2 linked regions of the Drosophila melanogaster genome follow. Changing the gene in region 1 together with any one later gene gives a genetic interaction. Each region holds a gene or a part of one and is shown on either strand. Other genes may lie near its edges.

Region 1 (8,402 bases):
CACATCGAAGTTCATGAAATTTGAACAGAACCCTTGAGACACTAGGTAGAAAATCTGTTGCTCAGGGTGTTGTACCAGGTATTGTTTTCCACATGCTGTGCTAAAGGGTTAAATTATTGCTATATCAGATCGTATTTGTATTTGGGGGGCGGAAGAGCAACCCTTAGAGAGTAACCCATAATGGGTGGGCGACCCGGGCATAACCCTTACGGCAAACCTTTGCGTACGGACCACCCCCTGAAAACTCACACTCTGATCACCCCCATGTATGGGCACTTATTCTATATTTTACTTAATGCATTCCCCGCTTATCCTCATTTTTATTAGTGTTTCAATATTCTTTTTCACTTTGCTTGGTTGCGTTTTTCCCAGCCATCCTTGCCCCATCCGCTTCCTGTTCTATCCCAGCTTTGTTTGCTCATGTCCTGGATTCCTGTTTGGGTTGGTTTCGTCCGTCCTCATCGGCTCTTTGGTTCTTTGGCTCTTTGGATGTGGCTCGTTTCAGCCATTAAATGGACAAATGAGGGATATAAAACAATTCGCCTTGGCTTCCTTTCTTTTCCTTTCGTTTCCTTTCTGCATGTCGCTCCTGTCCGTTTCCTTTTGGGTTTCTTCTGGCCTTTTTTGGGTCTCTTCTTGGATTTCTTTTTTTTTCACATAAGCATTTTATTTATTATTATATATGTGTGTGTGTGTGAGTGTGTGTGTGGATGGGTGGGTGGGTATTTCCTATTTGGTCCGGGTTTGGTCACTTTATTTGTTTGTACCTTTCCAATGCAAAGTGTTTTGTATCCTTTTTGTGTGGGGAGGAATGCGGAGGGTTACTGGGTTTGGCATTCGGGTGCGAGGATTTATGCTCATGTTGGTTTTCTGGGTGTTCCTATTTTGCCTTTGGGTGTGTATATCCATCCCACTCTCGTCTGGGCTCGTCCTTTCATGTGTCCTGTTTATGTAATCGCCGACATTAGTTTCTGACTGCTCTGCCATGTGTTTGCTTCACTTTTTTATGCACTCGCTCATATGATTTTTTTCAAATTTTTGCTTCTATTTAGAAAAAAACATTTTCAAATTTAATTTTGAGTTTACACCTTTAAGATTACGATTTAAAGGGAATTAAAAACACAAATTCTAGGCTGAAAAATATCTTAGCTATGTCTTTGAGATTTAATTAAACTAAAATCAACAATTTCATTATTTTGAAATATTTATCCTGCTAGTAATACTTTTTTGCCGATTTAGGGTACTTCACAAGTCGGCCTCATTCTGAATATTTTTTTCTAATGTTTGCTATCGTAGATGGAAAGGAATCTTCCCTCGATTCCACTTTGACCTGTCCTTGTCCGTTTCTTTCTCATTTATTTTGATTTCTTTTTTATACATTTTTTCCACTCATTTTTCCTTTGGCTTTGCCAAAAAGTTACCTTAATTTTCGAAGCTCTCCTTTTGGACCACTCCTTGCTGGAATTTCGGAGATTTCGTCCTTCGCTTTTTGTGCTGGCGCATAGAAAATGAAATGAAAATAAAATGATACTCATTAATTTGATAAATCGCGGACACAACAGAACTCGGCTTTGGTCCTCCTTGGGTTTTCTTTATGTACTTCCTTAGTCCTTTCCACCACTTCATCCTCTTAGTTGGTTTTCCTCGCTTTGCTTAATAATACCGAAAGATTTTATAAATGACCAAGCTGCAAATGGAAAAAGTTGACCTTTAGCGTAAATAGAAACACCATCAACCCACCACCGCCCCCGTTAAATGTTTCCGCTTTTGTGAGCGTTGATTTTGTTTTCCCCACCCCATCATCATCGTCATCTTTCGCATTTCTTCGTGAATTTTTAAGTAATTTCATCGTCCATTGTACACTTCAGAAATTTGTAAGCAAGACTTCTTCACCACTTGGGCATAGAAATATTCTGTCCAACATTACGCACTTGGTCAGCTATCTGCGCTCTTGCCCCTGCGTGTTTCCCTTATTTTCCTTGGATTTTTTTTCGGAGCTGCCAAGCTTTTATTAGCACACATTTAATAGGGTCACGCGTGTACTCCCACCCCGTGGTAGGTGTTTTTTTATTATTATTAATTTTCCAGCAAGTTACATGGGCACCAAGCCGAAAGCAAAACAAGGGCAGGACGAACAGGATGCGGGAGGAGCCAAGGAGCAAATCAACCGCCCACAAAACAGGACAAACACCAAGCAAACGAAATGCGAAAGGACACTTAACTGCGACGTACAACAAAAAATAGCGGTTCGTTGGGCGTTAGGAAATGAGGTCCTATGCCAAATGAGGTCACTTTTTCCACCTCTCACTTCTCAATTTTCCCAGCTAGACCGACGAACGACGAAAATATTTGAGGAATTACCCCAAAGTGTATTGCGAAGAAAGCGGAAAGTTAAGGTATATACTTATATTACTCTTTTAATAAAACTAGATCATTTAGAAAACTCGACGAGTTTAAAAATTCCCTTATTATTTGAATGAATTGAGTTACTATTGTGTTGCAAAGAATTTTCATAGAGATGGTCTATAATTTTCTAAGTATATCCCATACAAATGGGAATTTACATTGATGAAATACATTCATTGATATGAATTAAGAAGATATTTCGCAGTAATAGCAGATTGCAATATTTTTATTGAAAATTTTTCGAAAAGTATATTTTCAGCACTCTCAATAAATCGCACAGTAGGAATATTCCACTCATATGAGGATCACAGCACAAGGTCTAATGTACTTAAAACCCGACTTTAAGAGTTTATAGAAATACGCTGACAGTAGCTGCTGTTATTCGCCAGCTAACTGAGTCAACAAACCATTAAAGCAATCAGTTTGGGGATCGCATTGCATTACCAGGAATTTTTCATATATTACCGTGAAATGAAACTCGATCCCGGACGCACATGACGTATACGCAATATGCAAAAAGCTTCGCGTGGCCTTCAGAATGGGTGGTGAAGGCAATCGAGTGCCAGCCGTTGCTGTAAGACTGCAGCTGATGGCGCTGGTGATTAGTCCACCTATGGCTAAGATGTGCGCTGGCCAACTGTAATAACTACTGCCAGGCACTGGAGGCACTACTAATAAAAATTAATCGCAGAGGAAGTTGGACAAAGAACTAGACGGCAGTTGCCAAAGAGAGTTCGATGCGTTTGGAAGTGCGGTAAAAAAATCTCGGTTCGATTAGACGTGGTTTGTTCAACGTGGCGTATACGTAACGCAGATTGGCAAGTGGCGAAATGAGTGAAAAGGTGGAACAAGTGAAGGAGTCCAGAAAGGAGAAAGTCAAGGAGGAAATCACCAAAGATGATTCGACTTCCGTTTTAACGTTTGACCCACATCCCTATTTTCCATTCCTGTTCGATCCCTATTCGTCATCCAAATATGGCTCACAAGTGAGGGAAAGAAAAATCGATCGATGCTTGAAGCAGTTGCAGGATGCACTCAACGGAGGGAAGTATGTTATCCTTAGATATAATAGACTATATATATATCATAGATATCGAATTAGTATTTATAATTACAGTGTTAAGATAAGTCTTTCAGTTTTGAGACTTACAATAGTAACGGTACGACAATAATTTACCAAATCTATGGCCTCACACTACAACATAACAATCTTTTGCCAAGCGAATGACTTCATAAAGCAATCCCACCTTCTTTACCTACTACGTTCACCCTTAATCACCATCAATTATGTTCACTGTCAATTGGCAAATTGACAAACGATTGCAGTTGGATTTGTGTAAATAATTCAGAGCGAAGCACAATGCCAGCCGGGGCAAATTCGGCTCGTCCTCCGGCTGGCTGACTATTCATAAGGATCAAAGGCACACAGATGTACAGACATACACAGACATACACTGGCTGGCATTCCAGTTAACCCGAAAGTGAGTTGTCTTGCGGTTGTTGCTGTTGCTTGTCAAGGGGCATTAGCATTTCAGGACTGTAACTAATCACAAATGATAACATTTGCATGTGCAAACACAGACGCACGCACACACAGGCATACAAGGACGAAGGTGCGGGCCAGGCTATTTGCATACTTAAGTGTGCAGTTATTACCTTGTTATATCGATATAAATAACAACTGCGAAACGGACGAACACAGATTGCGCCTAATGAATCCTTGTTTGTTCTAATAAGTTTTTAATGCATTATTGATTTACACATTGACCGGACAAAAGTGGGACTTAGCAGCAGATTAAAATGGCCAGAAATCACCACAGCAATTGTAATGTTTAAATATTCAATGGGCTCGAGCGGAAAGTATTCAAACCCAATATATATATATATAACATATTCTTCAAAGCTCTTGATTAATCTTTCTTTCTTTCTCAATTGCTTGGCATAATAAATAAAAATTGCACATTCATAGAAAATACATAATATCAAGTATACGCCACGTAAACCGTTTGAACAAGACATATCCCTTGGCAGCAATCAAATCGAGGAGCACACAAAATGCATATGAAAACATTTAATTGTATTTGCATACAATTTTCCCATATCTACAGAGGCCAACACCCACTACGGTCAGAAATGAATATTTATTGCCAGCAAAAATTCAAATAAATTAAATAATGAAGATTGCATTTTAACGGGCAATTTTTGCATTTGGGATCAACACAACAAAAAAATATATAAAATTGAGAGAGGGTTCCTATCTCGATTTGTGATTGAATTGTCACATATCATATTTTGCTGATGACTTTTTTTCTATTTTCAGCTTTTTCTATAAATAAATAATAATATCAGAAATAATTTGTTGCACATTTCGTTTCGGTTTGCCAACCGCAAATACGAATCAATGGCACAAACATTCCGTTCGAGTTCTGTAATATTTTGTGAAACACAAAAAATAAAATGGCAACAAAATACATTTGCTAAAACTACTATAATAATAATTAAAACAAATAAAAATAGTTGCGGTGAGATAATTCACAGAATTTATGCGGAAAAGTCAAATATGATAATTGCAACTTTCCGTGGGAAACGGACAGTAGAAAATAAATAATGAGCTAAAAGTGGGAGTGGTGGTTGGTTGGTAAATGTGTGCCATATTTAAATAAAGCCAAAGCTGATTATAATTGAAATTTTGGTACGTCAAATGGCGCAAAAAATAAATCGAATAATTACAAAAATATTTACTGACATTTCATTCTGTAAAATGGGACAAATAAAAGTTAACTAGTTGAAAAATGTGCGGGAAGTGGTAGTTAAGTTAAAATACATTTGTTATTTGAAGAGCTGCAGTATTGCATAGTAATTATATTTAAAATTTATAATAATATTGCTCAGTTCAAGACTAACATTTTTTATATTTGTTTAGTTTCGTTAGCAGTAAAAGGTTAATATTTGTTCATTTGTATACAACAAAGTAGTTTGCAGTGCCTTAAAGAACTTAATTAAATTGTTCAGAACACAAAAGAGCCATAAATTGATTAAGGATTTTTACGACGGCCTTCGGGATGAATATCTCAAGAATTCCAGGCGATTTTCTAACTGAGTAAACAAACAAGATTTTCAATCTTAAGCTTGCTTCCTGTGCTCATCCCTCTGATTTTCCACTTTCCTCGGCTCGGATGCTGCAAAACTTTATTTCCATAAAGCGGCGAGCATAAAATTAATTTACTAATTGATGAGGCCCTGATCTCAATACGCAAAATACCCCGACGAATTATCATCATCGTCGACAATGCAAACAAGTTGAAATTCAATTACGCGAGCGACGGAGACGATGGAGGGCGAAGATTTGGAGGGAATGGGGCTCTTCGGAGGTGGAAACTGAGAAAAATAATCATAAGGCTGCGAGAAAACAAAGCGAAAAGCGAAGAAGCCAAAATGGAAAGGGAATTGTGAACTGAAGTGGGGCGGTGGATACGAGCTAAAGAGCAATAGCAAATATAAGTAAATAAATAAACCGAATAAACTGAAAATTTATTGAAGAAATACGCGAGCCGCACAAACAAAGGCAGCGTACAATGATGATGATGATGATCAATCGGTGGGGCTTTCAGGGGGGAGCATAAATAGGGGGGGGGAGGTGCCATATAGGCGACAATACGCAACCAAAATCGGCGACGATGCTGTCGATAAACCGACTTAAATCTCACACCCCGACGACAGCAATGGATGACGCCAATGAAAAAGCGACGACAAATGACGACTTCGACAATTAGAATCCAAGCGTTGCCCTGCTGCCCATAAACAGATACAAATGCAGAGAAAGAAAAATGTATCTCTTAATTACAAAAATCTCAAAAATGTAGAACAGGACTTTCCAGAGCAGTGATTACGAGCCTAAGATACATTTGTATCTTTATACATTTTTATATCACATTTTCAAGTAAAAACTTTTTTGCGTGTAAAAAGCCCAGATACGAAGTCAGATACAGCGACACTCCAAGGTTCCAAATGGGTCCATGTGCATCGAGTGATTTCACAACATTTAATAAATAATTTCATAATGGCTTCGCTGACTTCCATTCCGAAATTCAAATGAAAAAGTCACCGAAAAAGATTTCGTTCCTCTTTGCACATAATTTAATTTTGGTTGTTTTTTTTTTTTCCTCGTCTGCATCTTTCGTTTGTATGTATGTACTCAATTAAAAAGCAAAAGACCAAAGAAGCAGCAAAATGGAAAATTATTCCGAGAATCGTTTGGCGCTAGCTCGACCAATGCTGTTAAAACGCAGAAAAATTGAGAGTTGGGGTACGAGGATAGCGAAATTTTCCTTATTGGAAGAAATGGAAAAGTTCAAAGTTAAAGTTAATGAGGTGGCAGCGGGAAATGGTAAGGGATCGCAGGAAGTGGGGTCATGAAAACTTTTGAAACTTTTTGTCTCTTATTTGTGGAAGCGAGAATTTTATTAACCATAATTACAACTAATTCTGAGAGTTTTGGCCCATCCTAAACAATTGCATAAAAAGTTCAGTCCGTATATCAAAATAATAATTTTAAATAATTAAAGAGGAAAGTATGCTTCACTTTCAAAAAATAATTAATTATAATATAATTATAATTTAATTATACTTTTCATTTTCTAAAACTAATGCATAACACTTAGTGAACATTCCAATGTTTTAACAATATATTCTTAATTTTATCGGCTTGCTTCAAACTATAAGCAATTGCAACATGTTTTCAAAGTATTTTCTGCAGATCTTTCGCCTGCCTAAGATGCTTATAATTATAAACCAAGGCAAAAACTTTATTTATTGTTTTCGGTTCACTTAAGGCCTCTTCTCCTAATTCTTTGCTCATCTTTCTCGATTTTCACTTCGATTTCCATCACAATTTTAAGAATTGCTGCCCAGCTCCATACAACTAGTTGTGTATTTTCATTTCGTGGTGGCCCACAAAAACAATTTGTTTATGAACAAAAAGTATTTTCTGGGCGAGCGGGGATGGAAAATGTATTTTCATTGCTTTTGATATGGGAAATAATTTACAAAATAAATTAAAGCCATCTGGCATTAGCAGATCGTTGGTGGGCGCGGCGCGTCTTCTTCGACGGAATGTGATCCATGAGTGGAAAGTTCCAGTGGCAAAACCTAAACTAAACTTTAGAAAAACGCTTCCGCCTTCGCTGAGCGGTCGCCAATTAAATTCCAGGCACATCGTTTAGTTAATTAAGCCATCTCAATCAGGGAGACTCACACAATCCAGACTCTGAGACATTCGCCGAGTGACAGCGAAAGAACAACAATAATAGTAATGCGGAGAAAAGGCTTTCGCATGCCATAAATTAAAGAACAAATTATGCAAATCGCCAGCGAGGAAAACACATAAAGCTGACGAAAATGAGGGGGGGGGGCGGTGGAGTTCTGGGGACAAACAGCCCACAACGATGACGACAACAAGTCACCCACAACTGCAATTGCGGAATTAACTGCACTTGGCAGTAGCTCTAGCTCGAAGGGGGCGTGGCGGGGCGGGTTTGCAGTACTTGGCTGGCAGGCAAATTAAAAACCCAATGACGGCACAAAATCATAAACAAAGCAGTTGAGGAGCAGCCAATTCGAGGGGTTTCCAACTGCCACAGACAGAGGCCATCTTCCAATCTTCCGATGGCATGAAAGGTACAAAAGTAGCGAAACAAAGACACCCTTGGGAATATAAATTAAGCCAGGTATTACATTTTAAAAATCACCTCATGAACTCTAGAACTCAATATACCCTGCACCAGTGAGGCACATTTTTAGCACTGAGCTGGCGACAATTAATGTGATTATGTTAATTAATTGCCTTGATTAAATATCAATGCAATGGACAACTGACGTCTGATTGCCATTTCAAATGTATTACTTAATGAGTGCAAATCCGTTTGGCAAACAAACTGAATGCGATCTGTTCAGAATTTAATGTTGGATTGTACTTAACTTTTTAGATTTTTGAAATG
Region 2 (8,300 bases), on another chromosome or scaffold:
ATCAACCACTAGGCGGATGAGTTTCAATAACCAACAACGTAAGAGTATATTAAACGAACCTATGAATCTATCGTAACATGCTTAATTAGTCGAAATGTAGCTATGTCTATGAAACTGGGTGGTGTGCTTAGCTCAAAGGATATGCTTTTTAAATGGATTTGGTATTGTCTGTGCGTTTAGCATTAACTGTATTCTAGGAACGTTTTTTCTCTTAAGTAAACTGGGTGTCTCGAATAAATGTATTCGAAAACTTTATTGCCCATCTGATATTTCAGAAATTCAATTGTTCCTAGTATCTGGGCGGCACTTGACGACTTCTTTCCACTGATGATCATCCATTTGTATTCCCCATGCGATCCGCATTTGGTGTCGTCGTTATTGGAATCGCATTTTCGCTCTCGTTCGTCATTGCTCGCTGGTTTCGTTCATTCATACCCATTCGATTGTCATTTATTAGGGGCCGATCATTACGTAGTCATTTGTGTTTGACAATTTGAATGGGTTTTCTCACGCTAAGCAGCGCAGTCGGCGGCGGCGCCGCTTTGTCTTCCAATTCACTCAGTCATTCAATTTCATGCCTCATTCTGACTTGTTTGCTTCCGTCTGCCTTCTTTTTTACTGCTCTGCTCTGCTGTACTGTCCGCTTTTTTTCATTCATATTTATTTAGCTAATAATATAAGTCAAATCGAAATTATTTATGACACCCGGCATCGAACGCGAGTGTCTATGCGATTGTGAGTGAATCCGACTTCGACCCTACCCCAATTAGCTGGTGGCCGTGCCGCGGTGCTTTTGTTTTGATCGTTATGTAAATGGGTGAGAGATGATTTTTATTGTTTTTATAGCCACTGAATAATCGGCGTGGGTTGATAGTGAATTCTCGCGTGCCGACTGGTATGTGTGAACTCGTAGTAAATATTTGGCTTTGAAAAATTGCTCAATGAATGCCACGGACAGCTGATCTAATCGTTAATGCTTTTTACTATGAAGCGTTGTCGTGTTTCCCCCGTAGTAATCACGAAAATGTTTTGCTATTCATATCTTAAGATACATATCTATAGATATAGTATCGAGGATTGTGCTAAGATAATTTCAATTCATTCTTGATTATTACGAGCATTGTTAACTTATGTCAGTACTAGCTTATGGTCTTTTAGTTGAAAGACAGTCGACTTCCCTTATAATTCCTAATTCTTATTCACTAAACCACTTATCTATTTTCTTGAGTTCCACTCACGAAATGAACACTCAATCCGTAAATATGCTCAAACCCTTAACAAGTCTGTCAATTTGTTTTCTTTTTTCCGCTTTCTGTCACTGTTTCGCACAACATAAAAAGGATTGCGGTGTTTTCACTATGCTAAATGCCAAAAAGAAATCTCACCGCCCCAAACCAAGAAAAAAGTAGCGGCATTTGGTTAGCTTTCATGTATTTCCTCTTGATTAGAAACTGCAAAGCAAAACAAAACCGGAAAAAGGGTTATTTTTTATTGCTCTCTGCCTGTGTGTCAGTGTATGTGAGTGCTTGTGTTTACTTCTTAACTTTCGGCGTTTCCCTTGGATTTTTCTTTTCCTTATTATTATTTTTATTATTGTCGCCGGCGCAGTAGGCGTCGCGAGCTTTTAGCATTTTTAAATTGACGTTTATTATGCGCGCTGCTTTCGTCGTTTTCGTTTTTTATTGTTTTCCTTTTATTTTGGTGTGTGCCTTTGTGTGTGTGGTCAACATTGTTTTTGTATCTCTCTCCTTGCGCCGCTGGCGTTGGCGTCGACGTTGACGGCGACTGCGGCTGTGCCGTTGGCAGAGCTGCGCTGCGCCGTTTCTTTAGTTTGTTTTGGTTTTTAATTTAATCGTTTTTGTGGCCGCTCTTTGTTGTTGTTGTAGTTGTCGTTAAATGTGCTTAGCACGTGCTGCCGGCCTACTACCTCCCTCTCTTTCACTCCTGCACTGGTTATTGTTGACTCTTGCTTTTGCTGTTGCTTTTGCCCTTTTGTGTCTGCTCTTGATGCTTATTAGCGAGTGGCATTCACTCACTCTTTTAGCCAGTCACTCACCCCACCATCCTCATCCTCCTCCCCCTCCTACAACTCATTCTGCGTTCATTCATGACAGCAGGTTGCTCTGCCGTCGCTTAGAAACAAGTGGCCAATAAATTATGGCCGCAAAGAGCGGGAAGAAGAAGACTAGAGGCAGCACACTGTCCATTATTATTGCCCATTGAAAGCGTAATGGTAAATACGCATAAAACCGTTATACAGTCAAACATCACTAGATTGGAATTGTCCGCATCAATTGTGCAAAAATACCACTCAACATACAGAAGTTCATTACTCCGCGTTAATAATGCGAATGTGGTTTTAAAACATCTACATATGTGCAAACGATGATGTTAACGATAATGTTGAAATTGCATTAAAACATATTAATAACAGAATTTTATGCACAGTGCATAAAAGTTTACAAGTTTTTAAGATTTTATGCCACTCATATAATCAGTTTTAAATATTTTTAATTTTGAAGTAACATATTTTTAATGAAATACGAATACAAAAACCGTTCTTTAAATGCGCAAAATAAAATGTAGAACTCGAATTCCCAATGGCGGCAATTGTTCATTCACCACATGTTTGCGGTTCGAGTTAGAGATTTTTGCCTGTATTTATAGCCCGGAAAAAAGGGTTCGTCCGCCGCCGGCTGCTGCCCCTCTCCCCGTGAATGTGTTTCGTATCCGGGCTTTTTTATGATACGGAAACTGACCTAAGGTATGCGACGGGCATTTGCATGGGACCGATAATGAAAATGAGTTGCCGGGGTGCCACGCCCACTGCCATCCCCCAGAAAGGAGCGGAACAAGCGCAAGTCATGATGCTATTATTATACAACGTTCGGACTTTGGTACGTCACTGTGTCAAGGACAAGTGGATTCCATTGCGGTGTGTATGTGTGTGTGTTTGTGCGTAAATTGGTAAGAGGGGACTGGTACGTGTATTTATTGTTGATTTTCCGTTTTACGACCTTTGCCCTTGTTAATCATTTATGTGGAGCGGTCGAATTTGTTGACTTTTTAACAACAGACTTTTCCAAGGCTTGGCTAAATATACCTCATTTACCCGTTCTTTTACCTAAACACCTCAAATAAAAAATTGACATTACACATTTGTAACATTACCAAAAACCCATTAAAGAATGTGCACGTATGTACATACATATGCAAGCTTGATCACAAGTACAAACTATTAACTAAAAAGTTTGGGAATATTATTTTGTCTTAACATTTTTAAATAAATTGCTACCTGACAAATTCCTGGTAGCAAACATTTTTCTCAAAGCCGGCATATCTACATATCTTGCATCGAACACTTTGTCCAATTGTGGGTCAAGTTTATTTCAAAAATGTATTTCCTCTTCGGTTTTTATTTGTTTGCGGAACTTGGAAGTGAAGCCTGCAAAGAATCTTAAATGCCAATGCACTTTACATGCCCCGAACCAACCGCACCGCCCCATGCGATTGCCACCCCCTCGACGTGTATGACATTTTTGCCGTTTTTGTTTTGCTCGCCGGCTTCTACGCCTCTACCACCACAATCACCATCACGTCCGCACCACCCACCGCCCCCCTTTCATCATCCATCATCACAAAAACTTTCATTTAATTGCTGCAAGCGGTAGAAATAAAGAAAGAAAACAAAGAGGGAGAAAAAACCTTGATGTTGTTGGCTTTTGTTTACTTGGCTTCGATTGCGATGGGGGCTTGTCGGGAAAGACCCCAACTTGGGAATGGAAATCGTATCTGAATCGGAATCGGGCATCGAGAATCGGGGGATTCGAGGGAATCGAGCAAATGGCTAGCTGACGACGCGTGCTGTGCGTGCCTACTACAAATGCCCCACATGGATGTGCGTGCTGCTCCGCTGGAGGCACCCATCCTTGACCCCCCGATGCTCACCCCTCGTGGCGCCCCACGCCAATCCATTGAACATTTCCCGGCCGTAGCCAAATGACTTTTCAATTGGATTCGCCGGTAAACGGCAAAGGAAACAAGCGCATAAAGCGTAAATGCCGATAGAAGAAACTCAAGAATCAAAACAAAGATAGCGAATGCACCTCACATGTGTACTCAAATGCAATCATATCATACACCGCAATGAACCATACATATGTGATAAGAATGAAGCCAATAAATGTAGGGAAACTGAATGTTAATAATAAGGTGACACCATACAACCATATGATTGATAATCAAATCTAAAAACATTGGTATATTTCTAATATTTTTAGGAAATGTATATTTTCTTATAATTAGATTGCATAGCTTTAAATTACGAACGATCACTTTACATTTTAAAAATACCATTATTAGATATTATATGTCGTAAGTTCAGCTCAGATATCACATTATATGCTGGACCAAAATTGAAATAGTATTTTCTGATCAAAATTTGATCATTTCAATTTAGATTCAAGTGTAGTCCATCTAGAGCTAGAACAAACACGATGACAATAACCAATCGATGGCCAATATCATTGGACAAGATCAAGGTCGGTACTTATAGAGTGAGCCATAGTAAGGCCTTATCACGATCTACTCACATTGGATTCCGTCCACATTTTCATGGTTTCCTGCGAAGTCTTGAGGAGGTAATCTCGGCTGGCAATAATTTAAGTTTGGCGCCTTTTTCTGAGTCGCTGGTTGTTTTGGGTTCCGTGGTGTTCCTTAGCCCCAGCTCCACATGTTTGCGGGTTTGAGGGTGATGGGGAAGTCGATCGTCGGGCCAAGAACGATTCACTATATAACACACACAAAACACACACGCTCTGGCACAAACACACATGCAGACCGCTGGTCCGATGTTTTTGTTTTTGGCGCTGTTGTTCAACTGGGAAAAATGGGGAAAATCGCTGTGGAAAATTTACGTAGTTTTTGCTCGGGCTCTGTGGCTTTGGCCGAGCGCCTTTGGCGTCGTCGTCGCTGGTCGCTTGGCGTCTTGTTGTGCGAAGTGCAGAGTTCGTACTGAATGCTTTCGGCCTGGCCAACACACTCGACAGCCGGGTGGCCAGGGTTGCCGTCGCCGCGCCTGGAAAACTCTCTGCGCTTTGGCAACTCTGCCACATGCGCGCGTTGTTGTTGCCAGCTTTTCCGCCTCGAATTTTCGTATTTTCAGTTGCTCTGTGGAAAGCCACCAGGCTGGGACACAATCGGGCGAAAGCCATGGCTCCAATCCCAATACCAAAACTCAGACCCACAATGCTTTCAATGTACCATGCCTTCCGCCCTCTCTGCTTCGCCCCAGCTCCACGTTTTCATCATTTCCTGAACTATTTTAGTGGGCCCGACCAACAAACAAAGCCAACTCGCCTTGGCTCGGTTCAATTCGGATTGCTTCAGCTCAGCTCGTATGGGTTTTGCTTTGCTTTGGCCGCTTTGCTCGTTTTCATAAAGTCGATAATTGTGATTGGCGCCTAACGGTTTCTGCACGAAGCCAAGTACACAGATGTATCGATAATATTGGATCTTTGTTCATAATGGGGGATCGATATTTTTGTGCTGGAAATCGAACTTCTGCAGCTTGTGAAGAATTTACAACCATTCCTTTAACTTATACGCAACGTAAGCGCCTAACTAAACTTCCTCTTTTTGGCTTTGTAAATAAATAAAGATCTCCAACAGATTATTGACGATTTTGTAAGATGAAAACTGAATGCTACAAATATTTCCATATTTTTGTTTCTGCAAGGGTAACAGGGCGTGTATGATTGATATAGCGAAAATCATCTTATTAATGACTTTGGTAAGAGGCGGAACAGAAATACATTTTTCGGAGGATCGGTATACGTGTGGGTTTGGTAAATAAAATTGCAAAGTTTGTACAAACGATCCTAAATTACTAAGTCCTTAAAAGAAATCATAGAATTATCTAATATCTCTTATATATGTAGTTTTAAATGATGATCAAATAAATTTATTTCGAATCAGTTCAAAGACGATCCTAAGTGCTCATATCATCTTTTCTGATTGCAAAGGCTGGTGGCATAACGTCGCACCTGATATCGGCGACTTTTATCAGTTGACAGTGAGTCAGGTGCTCTGCGGAGCGAAGCGACCACAGTGCCGAACGACCTTTTGCTGACTGATAAAAGTGGGCGATTTGGGTGGCTAGGCTCTCTTTCCCCACACACAGTCACACTTACGAGAGCAATTCCCCACCCTCCGACCCCGCTGACTGCTGATTGCTTTGCTTGCTTCGCTGCACACACACACTCGCACACCCAGTGCTTAGGAGAGAGTTGGGTGGCTCTTTGTTTGGCCCACGCTCTCCCACAGTTACCAACCGTCATCCACCTCCCTCTTTTCCTCTCTCTCTCTCTCTATGTCATTTATGAGAGCCAGGCCGAACGAAGAGCCGAAGTTTCTGCTGCCAAGGCAAAAGCTAAAGCCGCACTTAAACAAGAATGGATAATAAAATGGTTAAAAATTCTGATAAAAATTGATCAGGTAGAAATATTCTAAGTTATATGAAACTTGTTCATAAATTTAGGACATTATGCAAACGCTTTTTTTTAGTTCATGAATAATTGGTTTAGCAAAAGTTTTTGTTGAGTGTAATGCCGGATTTCTAGTTCTGTCGTGGTCGCTGCTTTTGTCGCTGCCTCTGCTTCTGTCGCTGCCTCTGCTGGCGGAAAACTCCTGGTCCAAAGGCAGCCAAAACAACCGTCGACGGATGACGACGTTTTCCGACTAACAACGGACGCGCATTTTCCACCGTTTCGAGGCAAGAGCGCATTGAAATTTGTGCGACGCAGCGCAGCCTCGAAATTGGCAAAAGGGGTTTTTTTTTGTGGGGATTTGAAAGAGGGGACAGCGCCGTGGTAATGGGAGGCTAGCAGAAAGGGGAGTCGGTTAAAGCTTTAACGATGCTGGCCACTCTGGCGGCTGTGGCATTCATTGTTCGCCTTCGAGCGCCAATCGCTGAAAATGCCATTTTCACTGAAAACAAATATAATTTCTAGAAACTTCATAAAAAACTCCATGTATATTGCTGTAAATAGTATGGAAAACAAGAGCTTAAATCCTTAGCTCTACGTTTCTCAGGAAATTCTAAAGATGAATATAATATCTGTACAAACAATCCAAAAATATATGTTTTAAACATTTTTGTTTTATTTTAGAAATATTTAAAAGGCGTATTTCTATGTAATTATTTTCTCAATCATGCTTATGTTTAATAATAATGTGTTCCATTTAAGCAAATACATTTCCGTTTGAATGTTTGATCGCTCAGTGTGGTGATGTTGTTGCCGCTGTTATTCATCCACTTTGCGTATCCTTTGGCTGTGCTGCTGATTTGTGCGCAAAACTTTTACAACATCGCAGTGGCAGTGGCAGCGGCAGAAGCAGAAGCACCAGCAGGAACAGAGGAACAGAATCCAATGCGGCAACAACAGCAACAGCAACGGCCACACCAACTCGCAACTGGCAACCTATGGCTATGGCTATGGCTATGGCCATGGTATCAGCAACATTAACGAGTCTCAGCAGCGACAGCGTCACCGTCGACGAGCGCCGTTCTTGTCGCGTGGTTATTGCCGCCAGTTGCGGCTCTGCTTTGTCTACGAAAGGTCGAAGACGGAGTCTGTGGTCTGTCTCAGTCGAAGCTTCAGTCTAAGGGGACTCAGCCTGAAGTGACAGAGGCAGGAGCAGAAACAGGGGAAGGGGCGCTTCATCAGTCGCCGATGGCTTTGTCTGCTCTATCAAAAAAAAAAAAAAGTTCAAATATGCATTGCCTTGGGTTACGGGGTTCCCCCGTAATAGGGGGCACAGGGAGAATATGGGATATGTAGAGATAGATGGGCGCATAGGCAGCAAGTCGGAATTTCCGGAAAGTTAAAACTATCTATTAAAACAAGGGGTATAATGACTTTTATCAATTGATCACAGATTGCGTAGAGAGCCAAGATAGATAGATCAAGACAGTAATTTAATGAAATATGCAGATAAATCAGCAGAGAGAGAGAGAGAGATACATAAGTAAACCTATACGGTCTAGGCAAATCGTTACGATTATAAACGTATTTTAAGAGTTTATAAAAGAAAGTAATAGGGTTCTCTTGATGATGATCAGTAGATGTACTGAATGTACCTCTTATCACCCATAAGCCTTTTCGATTGCTCAACTTCCATTATTAAAGTCTTAACCGACTTTGCCTACGGAAGGCTTTAATAATTCTGTGTTTCTAATAAAATTCTCTTGATTGCCCGAAATGTTAATCATTTATTGATATTTCATTTCTGCCACAGGC

Evidence for each region.
Region 2: of tna (region 1) and tara, changing one enhances a phenotype caused by changing the other (phenotypic enhancement), as found in Drosophila melanogaster (one study listed by BioGRID).

The regions. Positions count from the first base shown.
Region 1 is NT_037436.4:10,832,292-10,840,693, forward strand, and holds the start of tna (tonalli), read left to right. Parts: upstream 1-3,236; coding exon 3,237-3,454; intron 3,455-8,402.
Region 2 is NT_033777.3:16,222,732-16,231,031, reverse strand, and holds the start of tara (taranis), read right to left. Parts: upstream 5,382-8,300; 5' UTR 4,617-5,381; coding exon 4,593-4,616; intron 1-4,592.